7 linked regions of the Macaca fascicularis genome follow. The protein of the gene in region 1 interacts with the protein of each later gene in a pairwise test. Links are inferred from orthologs where the notes say so. Each region holds a gene or a part of one and is shown on either strand. Other genes may lie near its edges. The genes, in order: UBE2K, RNF167, DTX3L, BIRC7, TRIM39, RNF138 and MKRN3.

Region 1 (4,105 bases):
TTTTGTTTTTTTTTTTTGGTATTTTTTGTATTTTTAGTAGAGACGGGTTTCACTATATTAGCCAGGCTGGTCTCGAACTCCTGACCTTGTGATTTTGCCGCCTTGGCCTCCCAAAGTGTTGGGATTACAGGCGTGAGCCACTGCACCTGGGCTTTTTTTTTTTTTTTTTTTTTTTTTTTTTTTTGAGACAGAGTCTCGCTCTGTCGTCCAGGCTGGAGTATGGTGGCACAATCTCAGCTCACCATGGTCTCTGCCTCCCGGGTTCAAGTGACCCTCGTGCCTCAGCCTCCTGAGTAGCTGGTATTACAGGTGCACCCTACCACGCCCAGTTAATGTTTTGTATTGTTAGTAGAGACAGGGTTTTACCATGTTGGCCAGGCTGGTCTTGAACCCCTGACCTCAAGTGATCCAACTGCCTCGGCCTCCCAAAGTGCTGGGATTACAGGCATGAGCCACCACTGCCCAGCCAAGACTATATACTCTTATTTCCCAGTGAATACATTATTGACAGTTTTTGAAAATACTGACTGTAGCCCCAAAAAGCTTAACTGGTTGGAGATACAGGGCAGACAAAGGATAGATAAAAATGGTAGGGGCAAAGAGTAAATGCTATGGGATTCTAAGGGTATCTGTATGAGTGAGATTCCTTTTTGTTGTTGTTTTGTTTTTGAGAAGGAGTCTCGGCTCTGTCACCCAGCCTGGAGTGCAGTGGCTTGATCTTGCTCACTGCAACCTTCGCCTCCCAGGTTCAACCAATGCCTCAGCCTCCGGAATGGCTGGAATCCCGGGATTACAGGCATGCGCCACCCTGCCCAGCTAATTTTTTTTTTTTTTTTTTTTTTTTTTTTGAGACAGAGTCTCGCTCTGTTGCTCAGGCTGGAGTGCAGTGGTGCGCAATCTCAGCTCACTGCAGGCTCCGCCTTCCGGGTTCACGCCATTCTCCTGCCTCAGCCTCCCGAGTAGCTGGGACTACAGGCACCCGCCACCAGGCCCGGCTAATTTGTTGTATTTTTTTAGTAGAGATGGGGTTTCACCATGTTGGCCAGGATGGTCTCGGTCTCCTGACCTCGTGATCAGCCTGCTTTGGCCTCCCAAAGTGCTGAGATTACAGGTGTGAGCCACCGCGCCCGGGCACTACACCCTGCTAATTTTTGTAGTTTTAATAGAGGCAGGGTTTCACTATATTGGCCAGGCTGGTCTCAAACTCCTGACCTCAGATGATCTGCCTGCCTCGGCCTCCCAAAGTGCTGGGCTTACATGGTGAGCCACCATGCCTGGCATGCCTGGACTTTTTTTTTTTTTTTTTTTTTTTTTTTTCAGATGGAATCTCGCTCTGTCACCCTGGCTGGAGTCCAGTTGCATGATCCAAGCTCTCTGCAGCCTCCGCCTCCCAGGTTAAGTGGTTCTCCTGCCTCAGCCTCCCAAGTAGCTGGGACTACAGGCGCACCCCACCATGCCCAACTAATTTTTTATATTGTTAGTAGAGACAGGGTTTTATGATGTCGGCCAGGCTGGTCTCAAACTCCTGACCTCAAGTGATCCACCTGCCTCGCTCTTCCAAAGTGATGAGATTACAAGTGTGAGCCACCATGCCCAGCCAAGACTATGTACTCTTATTTCCCAGTGAATACATTATTGATAGTTACTGAACATGTTGACCACAGCCCCAAAAGGCTTACTGGTTGGAGATACAGGACAGACAAAGGATAGATAAAAATGGGAGGGGCAAAGAGTAAATGCTATGGGATTCTGAGGGTATTTGAATGAGGGAGGTTCTTTTTTGTTTTTGTTTTGTTTTGAGTCAGAGTCTCTGTCGCCCAGCCTGGAGTACAGTGGCTTGATCTTGGCTCACTGCAACCTCCACCTCCTGGCTTCAAGTGATTCTCAGGCCTCAGCCTCCGGAATGGCTGGAATCACAGGCATGCGCCACCACACCTGGCTAATTTTTTGTATTTTTAGTAGAGACTGGATTTCACCATGTGGCCAGGCTGGTCTCACACTCCTGACCTCAAGTGATCTGGCTGTCTTGGCCTCCCAAAGTGCTGGGCTTACACGCATGAGCCACCCGACCTGGAGTTTTTTTGTTTTGTTTTGTTTGAGATGGAAACTCACTCTCACCCAGGCTGGAGTGCGGTGGCGTGATTTTGGCTCACTGCAGCTTCTGCTTCCCAGGTCAGGTAGTTCTACTGCTTGACCCAGTAGCTGGGATTATAGGCACGTGCCACCACACCCAGCTAATTTTCCTATTTTTAGTAGAGATGGGGTTTCTAGCCAGGCTGGTCTCGAACTCCTGACCTCAGGTGATCCGCCTGCCTTGGCTTCTGAAAGTGCTGGGATTACAGGCGTGAGCCATCGTGCCCGGGCTGTATGACTGTATGAGGGGGGTTCTTGAGCTAGGTGCTTTTTGTTGTTGTTGTTGTTGTTGAGACGGGGTCTCCCTCATTCGCCCAGGAGCACAGTCATAGCTCACTGCAGCCTTGACCTCCTGGGTTCTAGCAAGCCTTCCACCTCAGCCTCCCAAGTAGCTGGGTCTACAGGTACGTGCTGCCACACCCAGCTAGTTTTTACTTTTTGTAGAGATGGGGTCTCACTATGTTGCCCAGGCTGGTCTTGAACTCCTGGCTTCACACAGTCCTTCTGCCTCAGCTTCCCAACGTTCTGGGATTATAGGCATGAGCCACCTCACCCAGCCTTCTTGAGCTGAGGAAAGTTAAGACTGACCTCAAATTTCAGGAGACAGTCCCAAAGGAATTGTGGTAATATTGCGATTCTTTTTTTTTTCCCCCCCGAGACAGAGTTTTGCTCTTGTTGCCCAGGCTGGAGTGCAATGGCGCAATCTCGGCTCATTGCAACCTCTGTCTCCTGGGTTCAAGCGATTCTCCTGCCTCAGCCTCCTGAGTAGCTGGGATTACAGGCATGCACCACCAAGCTCAGCTAATTTTGTATTTTTAGTAGAGACCGAGTTTCTCCATGGTGGTCGATCAGGCTGTTCTTGAACTCCCGAACTCAGATGATCTGCCAGCGTTGGCCTCCCAAAGTGTTGGGATTGCAGGTGTGAGCCACCACGCCTGGCTGAAATTCTTAAGTAAATAAACTTTTCTCTAGGCACATGAATTGGAACTATGGAACAAAGAGATTATTGATGCACTTATTCAAGAAACACATTTACATATGTAGAACAGAAAGGTTGCACAGCTCTTATATACTCAAACATAGTTGTAGAGTTAGATCATGTTCTTAACTTTCTTCATAGTTACCTTTTGGGGAGGAAAACCACCCTTTTTCATATTAAAGTAAAACGTGTACATAATAAAGTGTGACTGGCATCCAAATCAAGAAACAGACCCTTCCCAGTACCATAGGAATCCTCCTTCCTTTCTAGTTACTTTCCTGACTTCTAATAACAGATTAGTTTTGAGTATGTTTGAGTAAAAGAACAGATGTGAGTATATGTTACGTATTTTAAGTTGGAAAGTTTTCAAAAGATGCTGTTCAAAATCTGTTAAGAAAAATATAGTGTCTTAGAAAATGTACTAAAATGTATTGAATTTCAGTGCTGAAATAGATCTAGGCCAAACTCCTCATCTATAAAATCAGGAAACTGAGGCCCAAGGAGGTTGATTGTTCCTCAGAGAAACAGCTGGTTAATGGTTGAACCCAGGCTTTTTGCATACCAGTTTAGTCATAATAAGTAGTTGGTTTGTGGGAATATCCTTTTCATAAACGATAGTGTAAAAGCTGACTGCTAATACAACTTTACAGAAGGAGATAACAATGCAGTATTATTTAAATGTGTCTTTTCTTTTCCCCCTCTTAGTATGAGAACTTAAACTTGCCAAGGAGGTAGAGATTTTTAACTCCTGAAGCATAATTTAGTGAAGTTAGCTTAGTAATTAAGAGCATGGGCTTTATAATTAGATTTGCTTTGAGTCCTGGCTTTTCTTCTTAAAACCTGAAGTACTGGCTCTGTATCTCGATTATCTTTATCTGTAAAAACTGTGGGAAGATTAAGAGTGTCTTTACAGTGCTTAGAATAACCTTGGGACATAATTAAACAGATAGCTGTTAGATGTCAGAAGTAGCTATGTTTTCATATTCTGTTGTG
Region 2 (2,050 bases), on another chromosome or scaffold:
CCCCTCCTGTGTGTGGTTGGAAAACTTTTTTGTTTTTTGGGTTTTTTTTTTTTTTTTCTGAATAAAAAAGATTCTAACAAGGTGCTGTGTGATTTGAGCTTGGGTGTCAGAATGGGGGACAGGCACTGTGACTTGCCTCCTTTATCATGGCTTGGGAGCAGGAAGGTTGAGGTACTACAAGGTGCAAGAATTTGAGCTTCTGGCCAGGTGGCCCTGCCCCTCCACAGTGGCATTTCCAGGCCTAAGTCCTCAGTGTGCTGGTTAAATTGGTGGATAATGGAATAGAGCCATCTGGACCAGAGAATGGGTGCAGGCCTGCAGGCAAGGCAGGGCTAGTTGAGTCATCCTTGTGGGTGGGGCTCCCCCTGAGTCATAGCAAATGCCTGCTGGGGCTGTCCCCATGACTATAGGTTAGTGTCTCAGCATTCTCTTGCTCCTTATGGCTAAAGGGGTGATTCCCCCAAAGGGTTAAGTTCACCTAAAAATTATCTCACCCTTCCTTAGTCCACAAAAAACAATTTTATTAGCCCAAGAAGTGAAGACCCAGTCCCTTTGCTTGCCCCAGCCCCACCCCAATGCCCCTCAAAAGGATAGGTGTGGGTAAGGGAGCAACTTAGGATGGAATGTCCCCTATCCCTCAACTTAGAAGACTGGAGGGAAGAAGACGGTCTGTGCAAATAGGTCACCAGAAGTGTACATGTAGAGGGTTATTAGACCAGGATGACGGGGGAAGAGGGAGGAGAGGGTGGGGGATCTGTTGAAGGCCCAGGAAAAACAAGGGGAGCTGGGGCTAGGGAACCAAATGAGGTGGGAAGAGTGGGGCTAGAACCCAAAAGTGGGGTCCTTTCGGAAGCAGGGTGGTCCCTTGGCTCCCCTTCTTCACCCTCCTCTTGCCCCTGAGCTTCTTCCTCTTGCTCTTCGTCCCCAGGACCACGATGAACAGGCTGCTTGCAAATGGGGCAGGTCTTCCGGGTCTGAGTCAGCCAGGGGTCCACGCAGCGGCTGTGGTAGGCTGCAGAGAGGAACAAGGTGAAGCACCTGGTGGCTGCCAGTGGCAGAGGGGCATGGGCAGGCAGTGAGGGCCTCACCATGAGCACAGGGGAGTACCCGCAGCTTGTCTCCATCTTCATATTCATCCAGGCAGATGGCACAGACATCATACTGGTCTCCTGGGACAGAAAGAAAATAATCTAGTCCTTCACTGAGCCATCGTGACCCAGGGCTAAGGCTTTTAAAGCCTTGCGAAAATTTTCCCTCACCTACAAAGCCAGTGGAAGAGCTAAGACAGGTAGGCAGGATAAGGTCAGGGCAGAACATGGAAGAATTTAGGGCTAAAAGGGACAAGCAAAGAGAAGCAGAGGTAAGAAGGGAAGTGGTTTTTGGGGAGGTGTGAGGGTGGAGATACGGAGTGGAAGGGACGGAAATGGGCAGAGCTTCTGCCATAGCCTTATACGGGCACTGGAGGCCCCAGGGCCTAAAGCCCCAGCCCCACAGTACCACTTTCTTCCTTCTCTAACTGAATCCTCCCCCATTCCTCCCATTTTTCTGCTCTCCACATCCCCCATAAGCAAAGTCTGTCCCTCTATTATTTCCCACAATTATTTCACTTAATCATCTTTGCTTTACATCTCTCCCATCTTCACTGTATTTATGGGTAAAAACAAGACAAGACAGCATCTCAAGCTGAAAATTTCTTACTGCCATCTTTATTACTTTTATTTTTTTGAGAAAGGGACTCCCTCTGTTGCCCAGGCTGGAGCACAGTGGTGCAATCTCAGCCCCCTACAACCTCCGCCTTCCTGGTTCAAGTGATTCTCCTTTCTCAGTCTCCCAAGTAGCTGGGACTACAAGCGCACACCACCATGCTCAGCTAATTTTTGTTATATTTTATAGAGATGGGGTCTCACCACGTTGCCCAGGCTGGCCTGGAACTCCTGGGGTCCAGGGATTCACTTGCCTCAGCCTCCCAAAGTGGTGGGATTTTTTTGTTTCATCATGTTGCCCAGGCTGGTCTCAAACTCCTGGGCTCAAGCGACCTACCCACCTCGGC
Region 3 (4,239 bases), on another chromosome or scaffold:
CCGAGTTCCTAGCACCTCTCTCCCTTGCTCACTGCCCTCCCACCACACTGGCTTCCTTCAAGCTTCTGGGCCTCAGAATGTCAGCTCTTGGGGCCTTTGTACCTATGCTTCCCTCTAGGACATTTTCCCCCCAGAAATCCACTTGGCTAGAGATGTCATCTCACTTGAGGTTTTTCCAGACATCCTATTTTAAATGGTGGTTCTGTCATTGTCTGTCACGTATTCTTCTTATTCTTCTTTCTAGCAGGTATGACTGGCAGACATTTTATTATATATCTATTTGTTTATTAATATTGTCTGTTTCTCTCACTAGAAGGTGCCATCCCCAGAAGCAGAGTCTGCCATGTTCCTGGCTGCCTCCCCAGCTCCTATAACAGTGCCTGGAACACATTAAGCAGTGGATATCTATTGTTGAATGAATCTTGTCATCATTCAAGTTGCAGGCCAAACGTCACCTCCTCAGTCAAGTTGTCTCTGATTTCTGGTTAGAAGTAGAACCAGGCTAGGCGCAGTAATTCATGACTGTAATCCCAGCACTTTGGGAGGCCAAGGCGGGCAGATCGCTTGAGCCCAGGAGTTTGAGAACAGCCTGGGCAACATAGTGAGACTCCGTTTCTACCAAAAAAAAAAAAAAAAATTGGCTGGGTGTAGTGGCGCCTGTAGTCCTAGCTACTCAGGAGGCTGAGGTGAGAGGATCGCTCGAGCCCAGGAGGTCAACGCTGCAGTGAGCCATGATTATGCCACTGTACTCCAGCCTAGGTGATAAAGTGAGACTCTGTCTTGTTGGGGGAAAAAAGAAATAACACCACCCCCATCTTCCCTTTGCTCGCCCTAGCCCTGTTTCTCTCCAAATAAATAAAATGGTTCTAATTATTTCACTTGCCTACTGTCTTTCTGTGCATGCCCTGGGCCCCAATATGAGCCGCCTGAGAGCAGGGACCTTGTCTGTTGTGTTCGTCTCTGTGTCCAGTGCCTAAAACAGTGCCTGGCTCCCATGTATGTGCCCAGCACATGGGTGTTGGATCAATAATACATGAGGCTGGTGACTGGAGAGGAGGCGCAGGTACAGCCAGCTCCTTCTTTCAATACTCACCTTTTCGAGACAGGAATCCACAGCATTAGGAATATGTCCTTCATGTTGATGCGTATCACTAGACGGTGTTTCTGCTTGTGACTGTGTCAGTGAAGAAATTTGAGGTCTCATGTTCTTCTTTATTGAATTTTCAGTGGGTACCAGGAAAATGGGCACAGGTTCGTTGTCAACAAGCATTTGGTGTTCTCCTTTTTTCAACACTCTCTCCTTAGCTTCAGCAGAAACATTAAACACACACATATACATACATAAAAATGGGAGAGATTTCAAGTAATCCTGTCATTCCTGTGTCTGTACCCTGCCCCAGCACCTCCCAGTAAGGCTGCTCACTGCACCCCGGAATGGTGGGTTGGCGATGGAGGAAATTGGGGAGCTATTAAGAGTTCTGAAGTGTGCGGATTAAGTTTTACTACAGAAGTGAAAGCTTAACGACAATGGAACATTGTCCACTCATTAAACGTCATGTTTCTGAAACTGTCTCCAGTCTCCCCTTTCTTCCTTCCTTCTTTATTTCCCTCCCTCCCTTTTTGTTTTTTTGTTTTGTTTTGTTTTTTGAGACGGAGTCTCACTCTGTCACCCAGGCTGGAGTGCAATGGTGCGACCTCGTCCCACTGCAACTCTCTGCCTCCCGAGTTCAAGCGATTCTCCTGCCTCAGCCTCCGGAGTAGCTTGGATTACAGGTGCGCACCACCACGCTCAGGTATTTTTGTATTCTTAGTAGAGACGGAATTTCGCCATGTTGGCCAGCCTGGTCTTGAACTCCTGGCCTCAAGTGATCCACCAACCTCGGCCTCCAAAGTGCTAGGATTATAGGCGTGAGCCACCACACCCATCCTGGTCTCCCATTTCAATACTCATTATACAGGTAAGTTACAGCAGCAAGTATCAAAAGTGCAGACTCCGAATTGTGTAAATACACGTGTGTTTGCTGGCATTCGTAAAAAAGGGCAGGAAGAAAATACACCAAATGGACACATTGTTTATCTCCAGGTTGTTTTCTTTTTTACTCTTTTCTCTTATTTCTATAGTGAGCATATATCACTTTTGTAATCCTCAAAAATACAAAATGGAACATCCTTTTGTTAATGGATGGAACAATGGAACCATTATTTAAAACATAAAAGTGGAATCCCTGAATGACAAGGACGGCAGCTGACAGGCATCTGGAGGATGGAAGATGACAGCTGAGAAATTAAGTTAGAATGAGGATATGGAAAACATCCACACTAAGGCGGGGTTAGCCGGATCCGCACCGGGCACATGTGAGGCCCTATCCTCCACCGAGTGTTCCCTGTCTCAGTGAGTCTCTTGGCAGCAGGGCCCCGTCCCTGTCCGCCACCGCACAGTGGCATACTTTCTTCCGCCCTCTCCCCTAGGTCAGCTGGAACTGGGTCCGCCTGGAAACCCGGGAGTCGGGGCCCCAGAGACGGCTTTCGGCTTTCGCAGCCCGACCGCCCGAAGCTCACCTGCCCTTTCACTGAACTCCACCCGGAAGGTGCCCGGGGCTTCGTGTTCCTGGGGCCTGACCGTGCACTCTCCGCCGCCCGAGGACTTAGAGCTCTGGAAGTAGCTCTCCAGCTTCCGTTGTACCCGGAGGCCGGACCCGGACACCCGCACGAGGAGCGGGGACGGCGGGCGCAGGTCGGAGGCCATGGCTCTGCGCGTCGGGAGGGCGCGGGGGCTCCGGGACGCCGCTGGGCCGGGACTGGGGTAAAGGCGCGGCCCGCCCCGCCGACTAGGCGCAAAGTTTCAGTTTCGCTTCCCCGGAGGTCCCTCCCTGTTCCCAGCAGAGCTGCTTCCCCCTCTTCCCTGTGCTGTCTGCACCGAGGCGAGTGGTCTGCCGGGTGGGTAGGTCCGGTGCCCCTGGGCCCTCGGGGTCCCCTTTCCTGCAGGCTCGGGGTACGGGGGGGGCGGAGAGTGGGGGCGGGCGCGGACCAGGATCCCAGGGCCAGGCCTCCCTTATGAGTAGACTATGCAAAGAAAGTAAGTTTCTCCTGTGTTTCTTATTCTTTGTAACTCTTACTGCTGTTATCACTATTATTTGATGCTAAAAAGTAATTCACATCTGAATCCATGTTAAACTTACCCATTTTTGAAAATTTGAATGTGTTCATCTGGTAATTGTGACCTGTTACCCCTTCCCTCCCTCCAACTCTACCCTTTAGACAGGCTCCTGGGGGCTTTTCTCCTCCATTGCTTGATTTAACCAACAGCACTGAATTGTTTCTTGCTGCCCAAAGAGCAGAGCAAGGCCCTGATGTCAAGGGCTGGTGAGGGGAGGCGGACCTGTGAACCAGGGAGCAAAACTTCTTCAAGGCCTCCAAGGAGAAGTTTCAAGCAGCATCTTAATAAACTGAGTGTGGCGACGAGATGGGGAGGACAGGGTTGGGGGGAAAAGCACCTAAGGCTTAGGGACCACTATGGTCTGAAGCACAGAGTGGGCCTGGGGCCTGGGAGGAGAGGAGATGGGTGAGGGGATGAGGGAGGGAGGGCCTACCTAGATGGGCACTGTCCAACAGAGATACAATGTGAGCCAGTATGTTCATTCTAAAATTTTTGCAGCCATATTTTTTAAAGGATAAAGAAACGGATGAAATTAATTGTAATGATGTTATTTAACTTGACATATCCAAAACTTAATCATTTCAGCACATAATGAGCTTTTTACATTCTTTTTATCATACTGCATCTTTGCAACCCAGTGTTTTTCTTACACTTACATCACATCTCGATTCAGACTGGCCACATGTAGCCTCAGTAGCTACGTGAGGCTGATAGTCCACCCTGGACAGCACATATTTAGATGGTGAAAAGCTTTGAAGAGCAGTAAATATGACTTGAAGGGTTGTAAGCAGGGAAAGCAAGAAAATGACTTGCCAGATATGCATTTTAGAAATATGGTGCTGACAATGGTGTGGAAGACACATTTACAAGCAGGGATGACTGGCGGCAGAGAGGACAGAGATAAGGTTTTTGCACATGGCTGGTAAGACTGGAAATGGGTCAGTCTTCACTGTGAGCAATTTGGCAGTACTGTCAGAATTACAACAGCATATGCTTTTTGATTCTGGAGTTCCATTTCTAGGGATTTGTCCCATTGCTATATTAGCCCCTGTGTGAAGTGACCTGTGTACAAAGATGTTCTT
Region 4 (3,937 bases), on another chromosome or scaffold:
CTGCAGGCCCCCGTAGCAGAAGAAGCACCTCACCTTGTCCTGCTGGCCTGGGGTGCGGAGAGATGCTGGCCCCAGCCAGGCCCCATCCAGCCCCCTGCCCCCCCGGTACGTCCTTCCAAGGCTGCGAGAGCTTCAACTGGAGGGGAGCTCCCAGGTGGCAACAGGGAGGAGGGGGTGGGCAGGGGGCTGGGTGGGGGAGGACTCTTGCACCTCACTAGCATCAAAGGTGAAAAGGGGACAAGGGTGTCTGGGGTGCCGGCCAGGATGGGTGAGAATGTTCAGGAAAGGACTGAGCTGGCATTTGCATTGTTCCCAGAGTAAGCAGTGGGGGCCCCCCAGGGCCTGGCACATCTATAGCCCTGAGGCTTCAGGAGCCAGAAGAGCCCCTCCCCAGGTCTCTGCTTCCCTAAGATGAGTCCCAGCGAGAGGAAGAAGGGAGGCTGCCCTAGAAGGCCAGTCTGGGGCCAGGCTTGGTTTTAGGAACTCATGCCTCCCTTTAGGGGTGGGGGACCCCTCCTCGCTCTACCTCCTGACAGCCCCGTCCCCTCATCGGCAGGCATGCGATATATCACCTGCCACTGACATCACAGGTTTGGGCTGCATCAGGCACTGGACCTCGACCAGCCCCAAAGACCCTGGCTCTGCACCTGCCATGCCTCCTGCCTGACCTTCACCTGCTGAGCCTTGGACCTCCAGGGAGTTGGGTGAGCCAGGCCTGCCCCTTCACACCACGACTCCTGACTGTCCCAGCCACTGTCCCCCCCGACCAGCTGTCTTAAGTTGGTCCAGCCTTACCAGGATGGTGCCCTCCCAGAGCCCACTGCTGACAATGACCTTGGCTGTGCCAGTACTCGTAAAGCCCTCAGTGGGCCCTGCTGCCCTGTCCTTCAGCCCGGAAGTGGCAGAGCTGGGACCTGAACTCAGGTCTGACCACATGGTCCCCAGCTGTAGGGCCGAGGAGCGGGCCCAGGTCAAGACGAGGATAGGTACTCCGGGGACTTGATTTAGTTGGGGAAGACCAGACAGTGGCTGCAGGTTGGGTCCTGAAGAAATTCCCCACAGGCTGAGCTGCCAGGACCTTCCGGCTGACCACGCCTGCCTTGGTCACCGTGATCCTGTTCCTTAAACATCTCCTCCCCCCGTGCAGACCAGCAGCAGGACGGTGAGGGCCCCAGGCAATGTCAGCCCCACCCACTTCTATCACAAAAAGGTACTTGCGCACCAAGCTGGTGGCCTCCACAGCTGAGACCCCCAGACCATGGCCAGAGGCAGCCCCTCCTCATGTCCCACAGTCTGACACACTTGGCCAGCAGAGACTCCGGGAGAGCGTGTCAGGCAGGAGCACATGGGCACTGAAGGGCTTGCAGGACTCCTGCTCCATCATCCGGCCAGACCCTTCCTGTTGGGGGATGGATGCTACGGAGGAGGCAGAGCCCTGGGCTGGAAGGGTCCAGAATCGTGCCCAGGCCCACAGCAGGAAGGCCCCCCCGCCCGGGACTGACCTGTGTGGAAGAAGCCGGCAGCGGCCAGCAGCTCGGGCGGCACCCCAGCCGTCAGCGGCCAGTCATAGAAGGAGGCCAGACGCAGCTCTTCAGAGCCCATGCCGGGGAAGGCAGGCCCCCTGGGCGACATGGCCCCGGCGCCCTCCTCCTCTTCCTCCTCTGCCAGGGGCCGCAGCTGGCCCAGGATCTGCCCATCCACATGGTCCCAGGCTCTGCAGCTGTCCAGGCCTAGGGCAGGGCTGCCCAGAGAGCGGGGTCCACAGCGCTCCCGCGTGGGACCGTCACCAGCTGCCCAGCGGCACAGCTGTGGTCCATGGCGCAGGCACTTGGCACTGTCTTCAGGCCCCATGGAGGGAACACTGGCTCTGACCAGGTCTGCAGCAGAAATGGGGGCTGATGGCCAGTCCCAGAATATGCCCAGCTGGCCCTTCTGGAGCTCCTGACCTCCGGGCTCACCCCAGGGACAGCAGGGATAGGCATAGGCCAGCCACCAGACACCCTGGGAGGGGAGTATCCCAGGGCCCACACTTTCTGGAACGGGCCAGGGTAGCCTCTGGGGTCACATGCTCTGTGCAGCGGGGGCGTGTCATGGGGCCCCTGGCAGGGTTGTGGATCCTGCTGATGGCACGTGGGCAGGCAGTGTCTCTTTGAACAAGACGGGAAGGAACTGAGCATGGAGACCCCTCCCCAGGCTGGCACCGGTCCCAGGGCTGTGGGGGAGGGGTTGGGGAGCTGGAGATGAAGGTTCCAGGGTCAGGCGCCCAGGGCAGCCTCTGGAAGCAGAGAAGGCCCAAGTAAAGACAGATGGGCTGCACAGCCCGTCCAGGCAGGGGCCGTGACCCCCCACCTTGCAGGGGTGACGCTGGACTCACAGGGGCCTAGTGCTGCGTCATGCAGAGCAGGGAGGCAGGTCACCCGGGTGTTCTCTGAAACATCCCTCTGCTCCAAGGGGCCTCCGCAGGTCTGGGAGCAGCTCTTGTCCTCAGGCCATGAAGATCAGAGCAGACAGAAGGGCCTGAGCTGCCCTACCCTCCCCCTCCCCCTCCCCCTTCCTCTTCCTTCTTCCTCTCCTTCCTCGTCCCCTTCCCCCTTCTCCCTCCTCCCTCTTTCCCTCCTTCCCCCCACCTCCCCTCACTTCCCCGCGTCTCCCTCCACCTCCTCCTTCTCCCTCCACTTCCCTCCATACCAGCCTCCCCAAGTAGCCAAGGGAGAGGCGCTGATGTCCCCAGAAGAGGAGCATTCAGTGTTGGTCCCGGAATCGGAGCTCCTGAGTCTGCTGTGACCCCGACTGCCAGTCCAAACTCCACAGCTGGGCCATGCTGCTAAACCCCACAGTGAGGGAACGGGGAGGAGGACTTAACCCTAGAGAAGCCGGGGGCACAACAGGAACCCCAGGGACACCTGGGCCGGACAAAGAGGACAGCTGGATGGGGCCCAGGCTTCGACGCCCCCCGACCCCCGACTGATGCCCCCCGACCCCCAACTGAACCCTCAACCCTAGCAGACTCAGCTCATCCACCCAGCTGGCCCTAAAGGCCCCCTGTCGTCCTTCAGCCACTCTCCCCTGCTGTTCTGTCCTGGATGGGAGCGTGCAGGCTCACAGAGTTTGGAAGAATAAAGAGGAGTCGCACACTGCAGGGCCTTTGGTTACCACGGGGAGTGCAGGCGGGCAGGAGAGGGTTAGCTGCAGTGAAAACCGTCCCTGAGCTCGCCTGGAAGCCTGGCCCGCTCACTTTCCACTGCTGAGCCGCATAGACCTGCTGCTGCCCACCACACTTTCACACCCGCCCCCGCTCCTCCTACTCACGGCGGGGGCTGGGGCTGCACCCGCCCTCCCAGGAGGCCTCTGGTGACTGTTCTGGTCATACTCAGGCCAGTGTTGCTGGGCCCCAGCGAGACCCCCAACCCTTTCCTATCCAAGGCCCAGAGCCACCTCGTTTCCTGCAGAAATCAAAGTGAAGGGTGTGGCTCTTAAGGCCTCTGGGGTGTCTCCAGGCCCTGCTGAGGATGCAGCACAGAAGCCAGGGCTGCCGGGGGCAGAGGGAGAGGCACCAGGAAGCTCAGGGACATAGGAGGGGAGGGCTGTGTCTGTCGGGAAAGGGCCTGGGCGCCGGAGAAGGAGTCAGGCTAGACACAAAGTAGAACTTCCCAACGTGTTTTCTGGGATGATCTTGGGGTACCACGCCTTCGCCCCCTCTCTGTCCTCCCGTGCCCCCTCAGCACAGCGGTTACCTTTGGTCACTTCAGCAACACCCCGGGTGTGGGCTTGGGGCCCTTTCAGGAGGACGCGGGCCTCAAGCTGGGTGGATTTTGCTGCCTGGTTCCCAGTCCACCCGCAGTGCACCTGGGAGGTGGGACGAGGGGTCACTATCTCCAGCCTGCTCTTTCCAGGGGAGGGACACATGCAGCACCCAGGTTTGCTCGGAATCCTCAAG
Region 5 (3,500 bases), on another chromosome or scaffold:
TAAGAAATGTTAATATTTTTATGACATTTTTTACTTCTCAGATTCCTTTCTTATCTATTAGAAACGTATGTCAAACGAGGATACAGTGGTCTGGAACTATTGGTTCTAAGATACAAGTGGAATGAACCTGGATCAGGAGAAGTATGCTGAGCTAGAGTTGAAGGAAGCTGCTCTTTCTAACAAGAGAAAGCAGAGGTAAGAGACAAGATAGATAAATTGGGGGTTGTGTGTCAGTTTACTAACAAGAAAAAAAGGTTAATGGCTGGGAGTCACAAGTTTTGGAAATGGAGAAACAAAGAGATTGAATTGATTGAAAGAGAAGATGGAGAATAACAAGATTGGGCAAATCTGGAGTTAGGACTTAACAGGGATAAATGTTGGGCCAGGGATGCAAAAAAAAAAAAAAAAAAAAAAAACACCTCCAATTAATATTTTTATTTTTTCTGTCCTCTTCCCCACTCCCAAGTTAAATTATGGCAGAGACAAGTCTGTTAGAGGCTGGGGCCTCTGCAGCCTCTACAGCTGCGGCTTTGGAGAACTTACAGGTGGAGGCAAGCTGCTCTGTGTGCCTGGAGTATCTGAAGGAACCTGTCATCATTGAGTGTGGGCACAACTTCTGCAAAGCTTGCATCACCCGCTGGTGGGAAGACCTAGAGAGGGACTTCCCTTGTCCTGTCTGTCGAAAGACATCCCGCTACCGCAGTCTCCGACCTAATCGGCAACTAGGCAGTATGGTGGAAATTGCCAAGCAGCTCCAGGCCGTCAAGCGGAAGATCCGGGATGAGAGCCTCTGCCCCCAACACCATGAGGCCCTCAGCCTTTTCTGTTATGAGGACCAGGAGGCTGTATGCTTAATCTGTGCAATTTCCCACACCCACCGGGCCCACACCGTTGTGCCACTGGATGACGCTACACAGGAGTACAAGGTGGGGAAGCAGACACATGATGTCAGTGTGGGTAAAAAAGGAGCAGTGGCAGAGGATGAAATACTCCCTAGGTAGAGATCTTAAGCTTCTACTACTCACTTTGTATTCTCAGAGCTGCATATGCAGGGGTACACAGTATGTGTGATCAGTTGTCCTCTAGCCTGAAAAAGAACAATGGTGAGAAGTGTCCAAAAATTTCTATCTGACTTTTGCAATACATATGAGTCTTTTGGGTGAATATTATGAGTCTTATGGGTGAATATTGGTATGTGTGGTCTTGGAAGGTATCATATTTTTCATAAATGAATGAAACCACATGGAAAAGATTAAACTTAGGAGGAACTGAAAAGTCTCATTTCTTCATTCTGCCTGCCTGCTCAGAATGCTCCTTGTTTTCACATTGGTTATTGGGCATAGGTAATATCACTTGAGACTGATACCTGCCAGACTAAGCTGAACCATTCTGTTGTTTGTAGCTTCTCCAGGTAATGGTTAACATGGCACATCATTTAACTTACTGCTGAGACACAGGAAAATGTTTGAATAAAGGGAACAGAGATTAATGTGTTAGCATTTTATCATATACTTTGCTTAATTATGTTACTCTTGAAAACAAGATTTCAGGTAACTTACAGTATAATAACCATGTTTTACAGTATAATGACCATGTTTTTATTTTAGGTGGATAGAGGTGGATGGGAGGACAGGTTTAAAGAAAAATATCAGGTTACAGAAGGTTGCTTTGATGGTAGTAGGCAGTTGTCTCAGTAAGAAAGTGGAAAGAGTTGAGAAAGGACACAGAGTTGGTGACAGCTATCTCAAATTCAGTAAGAGGACAGTTGGGTGAGCAGAGAAGGTGATGTGGACAGACTGTAGGAAATTGACATCCCAAATGACAGGCAAGGAAGGAAATCAGATCAAGAGGCAGTAAGATGGCTAGGAAGCAAATAAATGGTTTAAAACAAATGGTTTAATCTCTGAATGAGAAATGTACCAGTCAACCCCAAATGTCACCTCTCCCACTTCTTCCCTACCCCTCAGGAAAAACTGCAGAAGTGTCTGGAGCCCCTGGAACAGAAGCTGCAGGAGATCACTCGCTGCAAGTCCTCTGAGGAGAAGAAGCCTGGTGAGCTCAAGGTAAAGGCAGGCAATCCCATGTAGGCTGCTCTGAAGGGTATTTGTCTGTGAGGGTATTAACTATACACTATTTAATCCACCAGTTCCAATTCATTAGTAAAATGCAGTTCTTGGCCGGGCATGCTGGCTCACACCTGTAATCCCAGCAATTCTGGAGGCCAAGGTGGGCAGATTGCTTGAGCTCAGGAGTTTGAAACCACCCTGGGCAACATGATGAAACCCTGTCTTTACTAAAAACAAAAAATTAGCCGGGCCTGGTGGCACGTACCTGTGTACAGGTCCCAGCTACTTGGGCGGCTGAGGCAGGAAAATTGCTTGAACCTGGGAGGTGGAGGTTGCAGTGAGCCGAGATCGTACCATTGCACTCCAGCCTGGGCAACAGAGCAAGATTCTGTCTCAAAAAAGAAAGAAAGAAAGAACAATGTAGTTCTCTCAAAAATTATGGTATTTTATTAGGCTTGATTGTCATTAAACATTGTACTTAAATTACTTGTCATGAATTAAGTATTAAGAGGGATTTAAGAGATGAAGAACAGACAGAATATCTTACATCTGGTGAGCTGAGAGAGTTCGTGCCTCTTGGTCTCCTTTTTTTGTTAAAGCAGCAAAGGAGGCTTTCTGCTGAGAAGGCAGGGATGGGAGTTTCTTAGAGGACTTGAAGAGAGGAGAATGTGGAAGATTCACTGGGGAGAAAGGGAAAAGGAGCTGACCAAGAGTCTCAGAAGAACTATCCAATGACATTAGGACCACATTCTTAAAACTCAAGTAAGCTTAAGTATGCTAAATGATGTTGGTCCTAGAATGTTCTTCCCCTCCCCATCCTCCACCATAGGATCCTATTCATCTCTCAGATGGGATGAAAGCCACTTCCTATGCAGCCTTTCCTGACCCTTCAGAAATTAACGTTCTTAATTTTCATACAATTTTGCACCTCTTTTATAGCATTGCCTTATTTTTAGCATGGTATTTTGGTGTCTTGTCTTTCTTCTGTTGAACAGTGAACAATTATCATTTGTAGCAAAAATAACTAGAATTGAGTCCTATGCATTAATTCATTAGATATCCATGACATAGGGTTGTTAGGGTCTTGAAGTTCAGGCCAAATTGGGATAAGTGAGACATAGAAAAGCTACGAGAAAGAGACAGAAGGAAATCCTGAGGCCATCTTTAGTAAGATGTAGGAGTAAACTTAGATATTCTTTAAGGTAGGTATTATTACCTTCAGCTTACACAGAAGGAAATGGACCTTGAGTAAGTGACTAGTCCAAGATCATGAAGCCAGTAAGTGGCAAAACCAGGAATGCTAGTTCTTCGTGAATCAGTAAATACTTGTTAAGCTCCTGGTTTAGGCCAAACCCTGTATTTGACACTGGGGAACAATGATGAGCCAAAACACAGTTCCTGCCCTCCTTGAGCTTAAAGTTAAGTGGAGAAAAT
Region 6 (3,500 bases), on another chromosome or scaffold:
ATTATTTAACTTCTGCAGCCTGGCAGAGTTAGAAAGCAGTTTTAAAAAATTAAGTTCCTAGCTGGGTGCGGTGGCTCACACTTGTAATCCCAGCCCTTTGGGAGGCTGGGGCGGTGGACTGCTTGAGTTCAGGGGTTCGAGACCAGCCTGAGCAACATTGTAAAACCCCGTTTATAAAAAAAATACAAAAATTAGCCACGTGTAATCTCAGCTACCTGAGGGGCTGAGGCAGGAGGATTGCTTAAAGCCTGGGAAGTCAAAGCTGCAGTGAGCCAAGACTGTGCCACTGTACTCCAGCCTGGGTGACAAAGTGAGACCTTGTCTCCAAAAAAAGAAAAAAAAATTAAGTTCCCAGGAATACTTGGAACATTTTTCAGTTTCTCACTGAGAGGAATAGCCAGAATCCCTCAAGTGTGTTTTCTAGCTTCAATTCATTGCCCTGTCAAACACTTCCTTCAAAAAGATGGAAAAGCAGATCTGACTTGTGTGAATGCATGAAATAGCAACCAGTTTTGCTCTGAATTCATTAGCTATTAGAAAAAATGTCGGTGATAAATCTATAGACACATGGATATACTCAAAGCCTAACCACCCCTCACTATTTTATTCCTTCTCCAAATGCTAGAACAATAAAATCCAGATTAGAGAATTAATGCTGGTTATTTGTTAACACCTGATTTTCCTACATGTTCCTTAAAATTAACCAAATATGTTGTGATTTCTTTTTTTTTTCTAACAGTTTTGTTCTTGTTGCCCAGTGTGGAGTGCAATGGCACAATCTCAGCTCACCACAACCTCCACCTCCTGGGTTCAAACAATTCTGCCTCAGCCTCCCAAGTAGCTGGGATTATAGGCATGCACCACCACACCAGCTGATATTTGTATTTTTAGTAGAGATAGGGTTTCACCATGTTGGTCAGGGTGGTCTCGAACTCCTGACCTCAGGTCATCTACCCACCTTGGCCTCCCAAAGTGCTGGGATTATAGGCGTAAGCCACCATGCCCGCAGCTTGTGATTTCTTAAATACATAAATATATAAGTAAAGTGAGCAGCTAGAGAGTTCCTTAACTACATAAATCCATGTGCCCAAACTAGTAACATGTCTATGTGCAAAGCTGCAATAATGATGCTACCATGAGAAAAACTTAAGGGTTGAATTTGTACCAGAATGAGGTTTAAATGAGCTAAATGCCAGTTTGCTAATTTAGTTACTTTAAGTAAGTAATCAATGAGAAACTACTTTTAGAAAAATGCCATGCTAAATATCATGAAATTCAGTGATTTTTTTTTTCAGTGTCATTTCTCAGTAAGTTTATAATCTAGTAAGATCTATGACCACAGCTTTTTTTGGCCTTTTCTATCCAATTCCCAGTCTAAATATCTTTCATCTTTTAAAAAAAAACAAACAAAAAAAGCAGCAACCAAGAAAATTCAAACAAGAATTTCAGAGTAGAAACTTGGCTTCCAAAGAAGAGATATGTCACATTTACTCTACCTGTTTTGCACAGCATCTGCAGCTACCAGAAAACTTCCGCATTATATTTTCAAGGTCTAAGGCCCGTTCAGGACATGCTCTCTCTCTTCTAGTCACATTTCCACGACACAGGGGACAATGTGCTCCGCTTTCCCTCATTGCAGTCAGGAAACATTTTCTACAGAAGCTAAACCAAACATTATGACACATTAATTACAGAAAAAAATTACTCTTTTCATCTCTATAAATACAAACAAGTGATTATAAATATGTATTCAAATTAAATAAGTTAAGCTACTCATATGCACATAAATCTCAGAAGTTTAAGAACTGTATATGTAGTTATCAGAGAGTAAGACTGATAACTGGACTAGATGGTAAGGTTTTAAAAATTACACTCAAGTCTTCTTTACAACTTCCTAACACAGTATATGATGAATAAATATTAATGCTACATATTAATAATATTACTAGAGGAAACATGGTACAAAGGAAGAACTGGATCCTGGCTCTGCCATTTAGTAGCTGTGTAATCTTAGGCCAACAAATTAACCCACACTGGATCTCCATTTCCCCCCCTTACAAAATAAAAGGATGAATGACATAAGCTTTTGTCTCAAACTGATGTATTTGTGACATGTTGTTCCACAAGACATAAACAGGTCTACTACAAAAGAGCACACAAATGATTTGGGAAGTTCTAGAATAAAGTTAATAGGTTTTACCCAAAGTTAGGTGTTACCCAAAGTTATCTGCGTGTTAATAGGTGTTACTCAAAGTTATCTGGTCAGGAAATAGGAAAATTTCCCAAACTGTGCAATGGAATGTAATTTGAGAAATATTTAAGAATACTTCCGGCTTTAAACATTTATAACCAACTTTCTAATTAGAATCAAACTAAAATCTTTTTATCTTCTCTAGCCCTACCAAATACCTTATTTGATCATTTTGCTTTCAAGAGAACCAGTTAAATTACAGACATATATATCTGGGATCTAGAATATATATACATTTAATCCAATCTTCTATAAATATATATGAATATCCTCATAACAAAAGTTGAGGGGAAATGGTGCAGTAACAGATCACATAACCTGAGTTTCCTAACCATGTAGCACCTTTTTTTTTTTTTTTTTTGAGACGGAGTCTCGCTCTGTCGCCCAGGCTGGAGTGCAGTGGCCGGATCTCAGCTCACTGCAAGCTCCGCCTCCCGGGTTTACGCCATTCTCCTACCTCAGCCTCCCGAGTAGCTGGGACTACAGGTGCCCGCCACCTTGCCAGGCTAGTTTTTTTGTATTTTTTAGTAGAGACGAGGTTTCACCGGGTTAGCCAGGATGGTCTCAGTCTCCTTACCTCGTGATCCGCCCGTCTTGGCCTCCCAAAGTGCTGGGATTACAGGCTTGAGCCACCGCGCCTGGCCAATGTAGCACTTTTAAACAAGTCAGTTTTCCCCTATAAAATCCGTTTCCTCAGTCATGAAATATTAAAAGTATCTACAATTGACTGGGCTGTTCAGAGGATTAAAATAGATAACACATATAAAATGCTTAACACAGTATTTGTGATAGTCAGGAAAGTGCTCAACAAATGGTAGCTAACATCATTAAAACAGCACTAGAAGTCATTACCAATTAATACTACAAACCAAAACATTAGGCAGGGTGCAGTGGCTCATGCCTATAATCCCAGTGCTTTGGGAGGTCAAGGCTGGAGGATGGCTTGAGGCAAGGAGTTGAAGACTAGCCTGGGCAACATAGCAAGACACTATCTCTATAAAAATTAAAAATAAAAAAAATTAGCTGGCTATGATAGCATGCACGTCCAGTCCCAGCTACTCAGGAGGCTGAGGCGAAGGATCACTTGAGCACAGGAGGTTGAAGCTGTAGTGAGCTATGAAAGTGCCACTGCATTCCAGCCTGGGTGACAGAGCAATACTGTCCCTCAAAACACAATAACAATTAAATATATTTACCATAGCCAGAAACCAAAATAACGCAAAGTAAACAAGATGCCAGTTTTCACTTG
Region 7 (4,156 bases), on another chromosome or scaffold:
TTTTTAGTGCTTTCTATATTTTATTATCTTTCCATTATTTTATTCTCACTGGTTTTAGTATTTTTGTTCTATTTTCCCTTTTATAATCTTGTTACTTTTATGTTGAAATCTTTTGTCTAAAGCCCCTTGTTGGGAAAGTCTAGAGACTTTGTATATCAAATACAAAGCACTGTGCCTCTGAGCCTAGGATTTGCTGTTACAAAGAATTATTGAGAAGGTGGCAAAACTGCGTAGGAACACAATTTCTGTTTTTATAGAGTGAGCTATTAATGCCATTGTAAGAATTACCAATATAGTGCTTTGTAAGTCCTCTAAGATCTGCATCTGTTACATTTGGCCAGACCCACTTGAACAGTCCTTTTCATTAGATGCTAATTACTGGCTTCTGTGCAAGGGACAGAATGATTATTCACACAACTCACATCCACACAACAGCCAATCCTGTTAGGCTTTGACCTTCAGCTTTCGGCTCTGTATTTACTTTATTACATAAACATAAATATTGTGATGTATATTCTTTTATATATATTTTCAAATACATAGCTCTTATACATATATATTATATATATATCATTCTTAAATATATATTTCCAAATATAAATTATTTCATGTCAAGCTAAACAGGATAAAAACATGTAAACATATACACTTGGTTTTGGTCAAGTAAAACACAAAATCACAAGTTCATCACAGTTTAACAAGTGCACTTGAAGGGGAAGGAGGGAAAGAACAAACTGTAAACAGATGAGCAGCTGCAAGACCCTGCGAGGGTCCATTTGTTAAGGCTATTATAGCACAAAGCTACTAGTTCAATTAAAACTTCTCCTTTCACTCTGCCACATTTACTCTTGAGGGTCTTCAAAATAAGTGTGGAAATTCAGTAAACACTACACTAGAACTGAGTTAATCCTGTTGAAAACAGAGATGACAAAAAAAGCCATAAGCTGACATTAATATTAATTTCACCAAAACAGTAACTTTAAGGACTTATTTTTTTAAACACAGATAATCACCATAATCCTAGGAGGAAAGATATGCAGAATAGACAAGAAAACAGAAGCACTGCCTCAACAGCCCCTGAAAGCAATAAGAGTGTCAACACAGGGAAAACAGGCAATAGCAGACGACAGAACCTCAGCAGACTAGACCACATGCCACAGCACAATGCTACAGATTCAAATTGAAATATTCTTCCAGCTCATAATGAAGCAAGTCCCACTGGTCCTCAGAGAAGGGTAACTCATCTCTCAGTAAAAGAAACCGCTTAAACAACAGACTGGCCAGTCGAAGCACGACAAGCTCCTTCTTACGGCTTTTATAGAGCATGTCGCCCTCTCCCATTCGCACAGGCTCCACAAGTTGATGCCAGTATGCGCCGAATGACCCACCACCTGGCCCAGGAGGCTCATCTCCCCAGCCCTCAGGGTATTCATGCTTGTAAAAGCATGTGTCTCCAAATGGGCAGTTACCCCTGCCTTCCGCAAAATACCTGCAGGCCTTGTTGCTCATTGCCTCCTTGTATTGCTGAATAAGTTTCTGCTTCTCTTCCTCCTCCTCCACCCAGAACTCACTGGGAACGACCAAGTCGGAGGTGACCCTGCACTGCGGGCAAGACTTGATGATCCTGTTATCAAACTGTCTGGCACTTCTCCACCTGCGGATACACCTAATACAGAAGGTATGGTTGCAATTGGAAAGAATGCCAAAGCGGCGGTCATTGGGGTTGGCTTTCTCATAGACAACCTCCATGCAGATGCCACACACCTTGTCCATACCACGCTGCACAGCAAACGAGAGTTCCATATCTTTCTCGTGTGCTTCAATGCAGGCCCTTATATGGTCTTCCCTCTGGGCAGCATCCATGGGGTGCAAGGCCTGCAGCCCACACATGTCGCATATGTCTCCATGGAGGAACATACAGCTCTCCCCACGAAAGCAAACTCCCCTGGAAGCATAATAGCAAAACCGCAACCCCCTGCCCACAGCCATCTGATTCCTCTCAGTCTCTGAGCTCTGTGGAGGAGCCTCGGGGGCAGATGCAACCCAGCGGCCCCGGTAGGGCTGCCCTGGAACAAACTCAATGGCATCCGCCCAGCTTTCTACACCTGCTCCTCCAGCAGCTCCACGGTCTGCATTGTCTCTCTCGGCTTCAAAGAAACCCCTTTCAGCAGCCGAGCCAATCACAGGCAAGGAAAGGGAGGATGCAGCCGGGGGGGCTTCCGCCACTTCCTGAGTCGGGGGCTCGATGTGCGCAGCCGTGCTAGGGCCTCCACCTGCAGAGGCCCCAGGCGGCGAAACGCTGCCCTCAGTGGCCATCTTCCGACCAGAAAGGTCGTGGGAATAGCGACAGTTCTCCCCCTCCTTGCACTGCCCATGTATATAATACCTGCAGATGATCTGCTTTGTCCAAATGCCGCTGCTTCGGCTTGGAAACGGATTGCGCCATGCTCCTCCTCCTGAGGCTGGTGCAGGCCTCAGGCCTCCTGTGCGGAGGTGGGCAGGGACTGGAGCTACAGGGAAGGGGGCCCAGCCCACAGGCGCATGTGGCAGGGCCGAATCTGGAGCAGCAGATTCCCTGGAGGGCTCACAGACGGGAAGGTCCGGCCCAGACACACCCTCCCCTGCTGCCTCAGCACCTGCCTGGGCCCCGGCTGCCTCCTGGGCTTCTGAGGGAGCTGCAGGCTCTTCCATGGCAGCTTCTTTACCCCGAAATGGTGCCAGAACGTCTCCGGTATTTTTTCTTTATGGGCTTGAGGCCCGGAGTCGCGGCCGCGCTCGGAGGCTTCTCTAGGGGAAGTGTGCATCTCTTTTTCTTCCCCCCCGGTTCTTGGCTGCCTGTGACTGTGTGTTCCTACCTACTTCCGGGCACAGGCAGCGCGGCGGACACTTCCTGTGGGGGCAACGTACGCGCCGCGCTTGGATTTTACCGCAATTTTCCAATCTGACATATTTTTTGTTCACACAGGCAGGGACCAACCCAGCCCCTTTTGTCTGCCTTCTGCCTCTGCTTCGCTGTGTTCCGGCAGCCCCTAATTCCCTCCTCACACCGTTTCCTCAGGAGAATGAGGTTTTACTTTAATCTCTTTTGGTTTCAGTCATGCACGTCTTCGTTGTATTTTCGTATCTGTCTGCTTTAAAAAAATTAGAATCCAATAGATTCTGAAACATTTCATACATGAATTAGATAAATCCTTTTTTGATTCACTCCATCTTATGTCTGCGTTTTTTTTTTTTTAATGCCCTGTCACTGCTGGAAGATTTTTTCGATTTGCTCTGTTGACAAAGCGTCGTTTCTTTTGGTCTTTGTTTTCTGGGATTTCTGAGGGCTTACGCAGGATACGCTTTTCACCAGCAAGGCATTAGCAGACAGCGCTTCTGATCCGAGGCTAAGTTAGCACCTTTCAGATGTCTTTCTTTATTGTGATTACTATGCTCGTTTTCCCACTGTGTAGAAGCCCCAGACTTCAATCATTCCTGATGCTGGCTGAATAAGGCACTGTCCCCTGCATGACCCAGGCTTTTATTTTCTCTACTGGTTTAATTCATGGCAGCCCTTTGTTTCTCTTGCTTTCTTTCAACCCCATCTGTGCTGTGTTGTGGCATACTATCCACAAAGGAATGGTCTTTAATTTCCATATATAAGCGTTTTGTCATTTTTGCAGATACGTGTAGTGGATTAATCATTTTTTTGTATTCCTACTTTGCTGAGAGTACGTATCATGACTGCATACTGAATTCTGTCATGTAGTTTTATATATTTTTTGAGATAATCTTGTTTTTCCCTTTATTCTCTTAATGTGATTATTTGCAGCTATGAGTTTCAAATATTTAACTGACCAATTTGTTTCTAATAAGAAGCCCTTCTGTGTCATGATATATCGTTTTATATATTATTGGATTTTTTTTTTTCTGTAAGTTTCTTTGAGGAAATTTTGTTGCCTAAATCTGTAAAGTGGAAACATATCTGAATATTTATAATCACCCAAGTCAACAAATTAAATTATAATTAGGTAGGTAAAAGCAAAGAAAGCAGAATGAAGCAAATAATAAGGCCAAGAAAAGCAATGAAGAAAAACAAATATTAAATAAGGGAAATAAATTAAGTAAAATCCTTTAAACAGCTTATTGAAGCCAGATAATTTCTGGTGAAACTTAT

The links.
Region 2: the proteins of UBE2K (region 1) and RNF167 interact in binary tests that used the Homo sapiens proteins (3 or more experiments, as listed by UniProt). The link is inferred for Macaca fascicularis from reciprocal best matches to the Homo sapiens genes UBE2K and RNF167.
Region 3: the proteins of UBE2K (region 1) and DTX3L interact in binary tests that used the Homo sapiens proteins (3 or more experiments, as listed by UniProt). The link is inferred for Macaca fascicularis from reciprocal best matches to the Homo sapiens genes UBE2K and DTX3L.
Region 4: the proteins of UBE2K (region 1) and BIRC7 interact in binary tests that used the Homo sapiens proteins (3 or more experiments, as listed by UniProt). The link is inferred for Macaca fascicularis from reciprocal best matches to the Homo sapiens genes UBE2K and BIRC7.
Region 5: the proteins of UBE2K (region 1) and TRIM39 interact in binary tests that used the Homo sapiens proteins (3 or more experiments, as listed by UniProt). The link is inferred for Macaca fascicularis from reciprocal best matches to the Homo sapiens genes UBE2K and TRIM39.
Region 6: the proteins of UBE2K (region 1) and RNF138 interact in binary tests that used the Homo sapiens proteins (3 or more experiments, as listed by UniProt). The link is inferred for Macaca fascicularis from reciprocal best matches to the Homo sapiens genes UBE2K and RNF138.
Region 7: the proteins of UBE2K (region 1) and MKRN3 interact in binary tests that used the Homo sapiens proteins (3 or more experiments, as listed by UniProt). The link is inferred for Macaca fascicularis from reciprocal best matches to the Homo sapiens genes UBE2K and MKRN3.

What each region holds. Positions count from the first base shown.
Region 1 is NC_088379.1:38,999,319-39,003,423, forward strand, and holds the start of UBE2K (ubiquitin-conjugating enzyme E2 K), read left to right. Parts: upstream 1-1,305; 5' UTR 1,306-1,320; coding exon 1,321-1,394; intron 1,395-4,105. UniProt on the Homo sapiens protein: Accepts ubiquitin from the E1 complex and catalyzes its covalent attachment to other proteins. In vitro, in the presence or in the absence of BRCA1-BARD1 E3 ubiquitin-protein ligase complex, catalyzes the synthesis of 'Lys-48'-linked polyubiquitin chains.
Region 2 is NC_088390.1:5,062,335-5,064,384, reverse strand, and holds the end of RNF167 (E3 ubiquitin-protein ligase RNF167), read right to left. Parts: intron 1,332-2,050; coding exon 1,260-1,331; intron 1,170-1,259; coding exon 1,089-1,169; intron 1,013-1,088; coding exon 711-1,012; 3' UTR 501-710; downstream 1-500.
Region 3 is NC_088376.1:160,683,290-160,687,528, forward strand, and holds the start of DTX3L (E3 ubiquitin-protein ligase DTX3L), read right to left. Parts: upstream 2,801-4,239; 5' UTR 2,747-2,800; coding exon 2,560-2,746; exon of another isoform or gene 2,380-2,559; intron 1,306-2,379; coding exon 1,094-1,305; intron 1-1,093.
Region 4 is NC_088384.1:119,341,141-119,345,077, reverse strand, and holds the start of BIRC7 (baculoviral IAP repeat-containing protein 7), read right to left. Parts: upstream 2,801-3,937; 5' UTR 2,375-2,800; intron 2,041-2,374; exon of another isoform or gene 1,878-2,040; 5' UTR 1,852-1,877; coding exon 1,503-1,851; intron 1,417-1,502; coding exon of another isoform or gene 1,223-1,416; exon of another isoform or gene 1,132-1,222; intron 48-1,131; coding exon 1-47.
Region 5 is NC_088378.1:142,316,204-142,319,703, reverse strand, and holds part of TRIM39 (E3 ubiquitin-protein ligase TRIM39), read left to right. Parts: intron 1-41; exon of another isoform or gene 42-61; 5' UTR 62-195; intron 196-466; 5' UTR 467-473; coding exon 474-926; intron 927-1,967; coding exon 1,968-2,063; intron 2,064-3,500.
Region 6 is NC_088392.1:57,762,737-57,766,236, forward strand, and holds part of RNF138 (E3 ubiquitin-protein ligase RNF138), read right to left. Parts: intron 1,663-3,500; coding exon 1,497-1,662; intron 1-1,496. UniProt on the Homo sapiens protein: E3 ubiquitin-protein ligase involved in DNA damage response by promoting DNA resection and homologous recombination.
Region 7 is NC_088381.1:5,418,420-5,422,575, forward strand, and holds the start of MKRN3 (E3 ubiquitin-protein ligase makorin-3), read right to left. Parts: upstream 2,801-4,156; 5' UTR 2,692-2,800; coding exon 1,490-2,691; coding exon of another isoform or gene 1,168-1,489; exon of another isoform or gene 910-1,167; coding exon of another isoform or gene 888-909; exon of another isoform or gene 1-887. UniProt on the Homo sapiens protein: E3 ubiquitin ligase catalyzing the covalent attachment of ubiquitin moieties onto substrate proteins.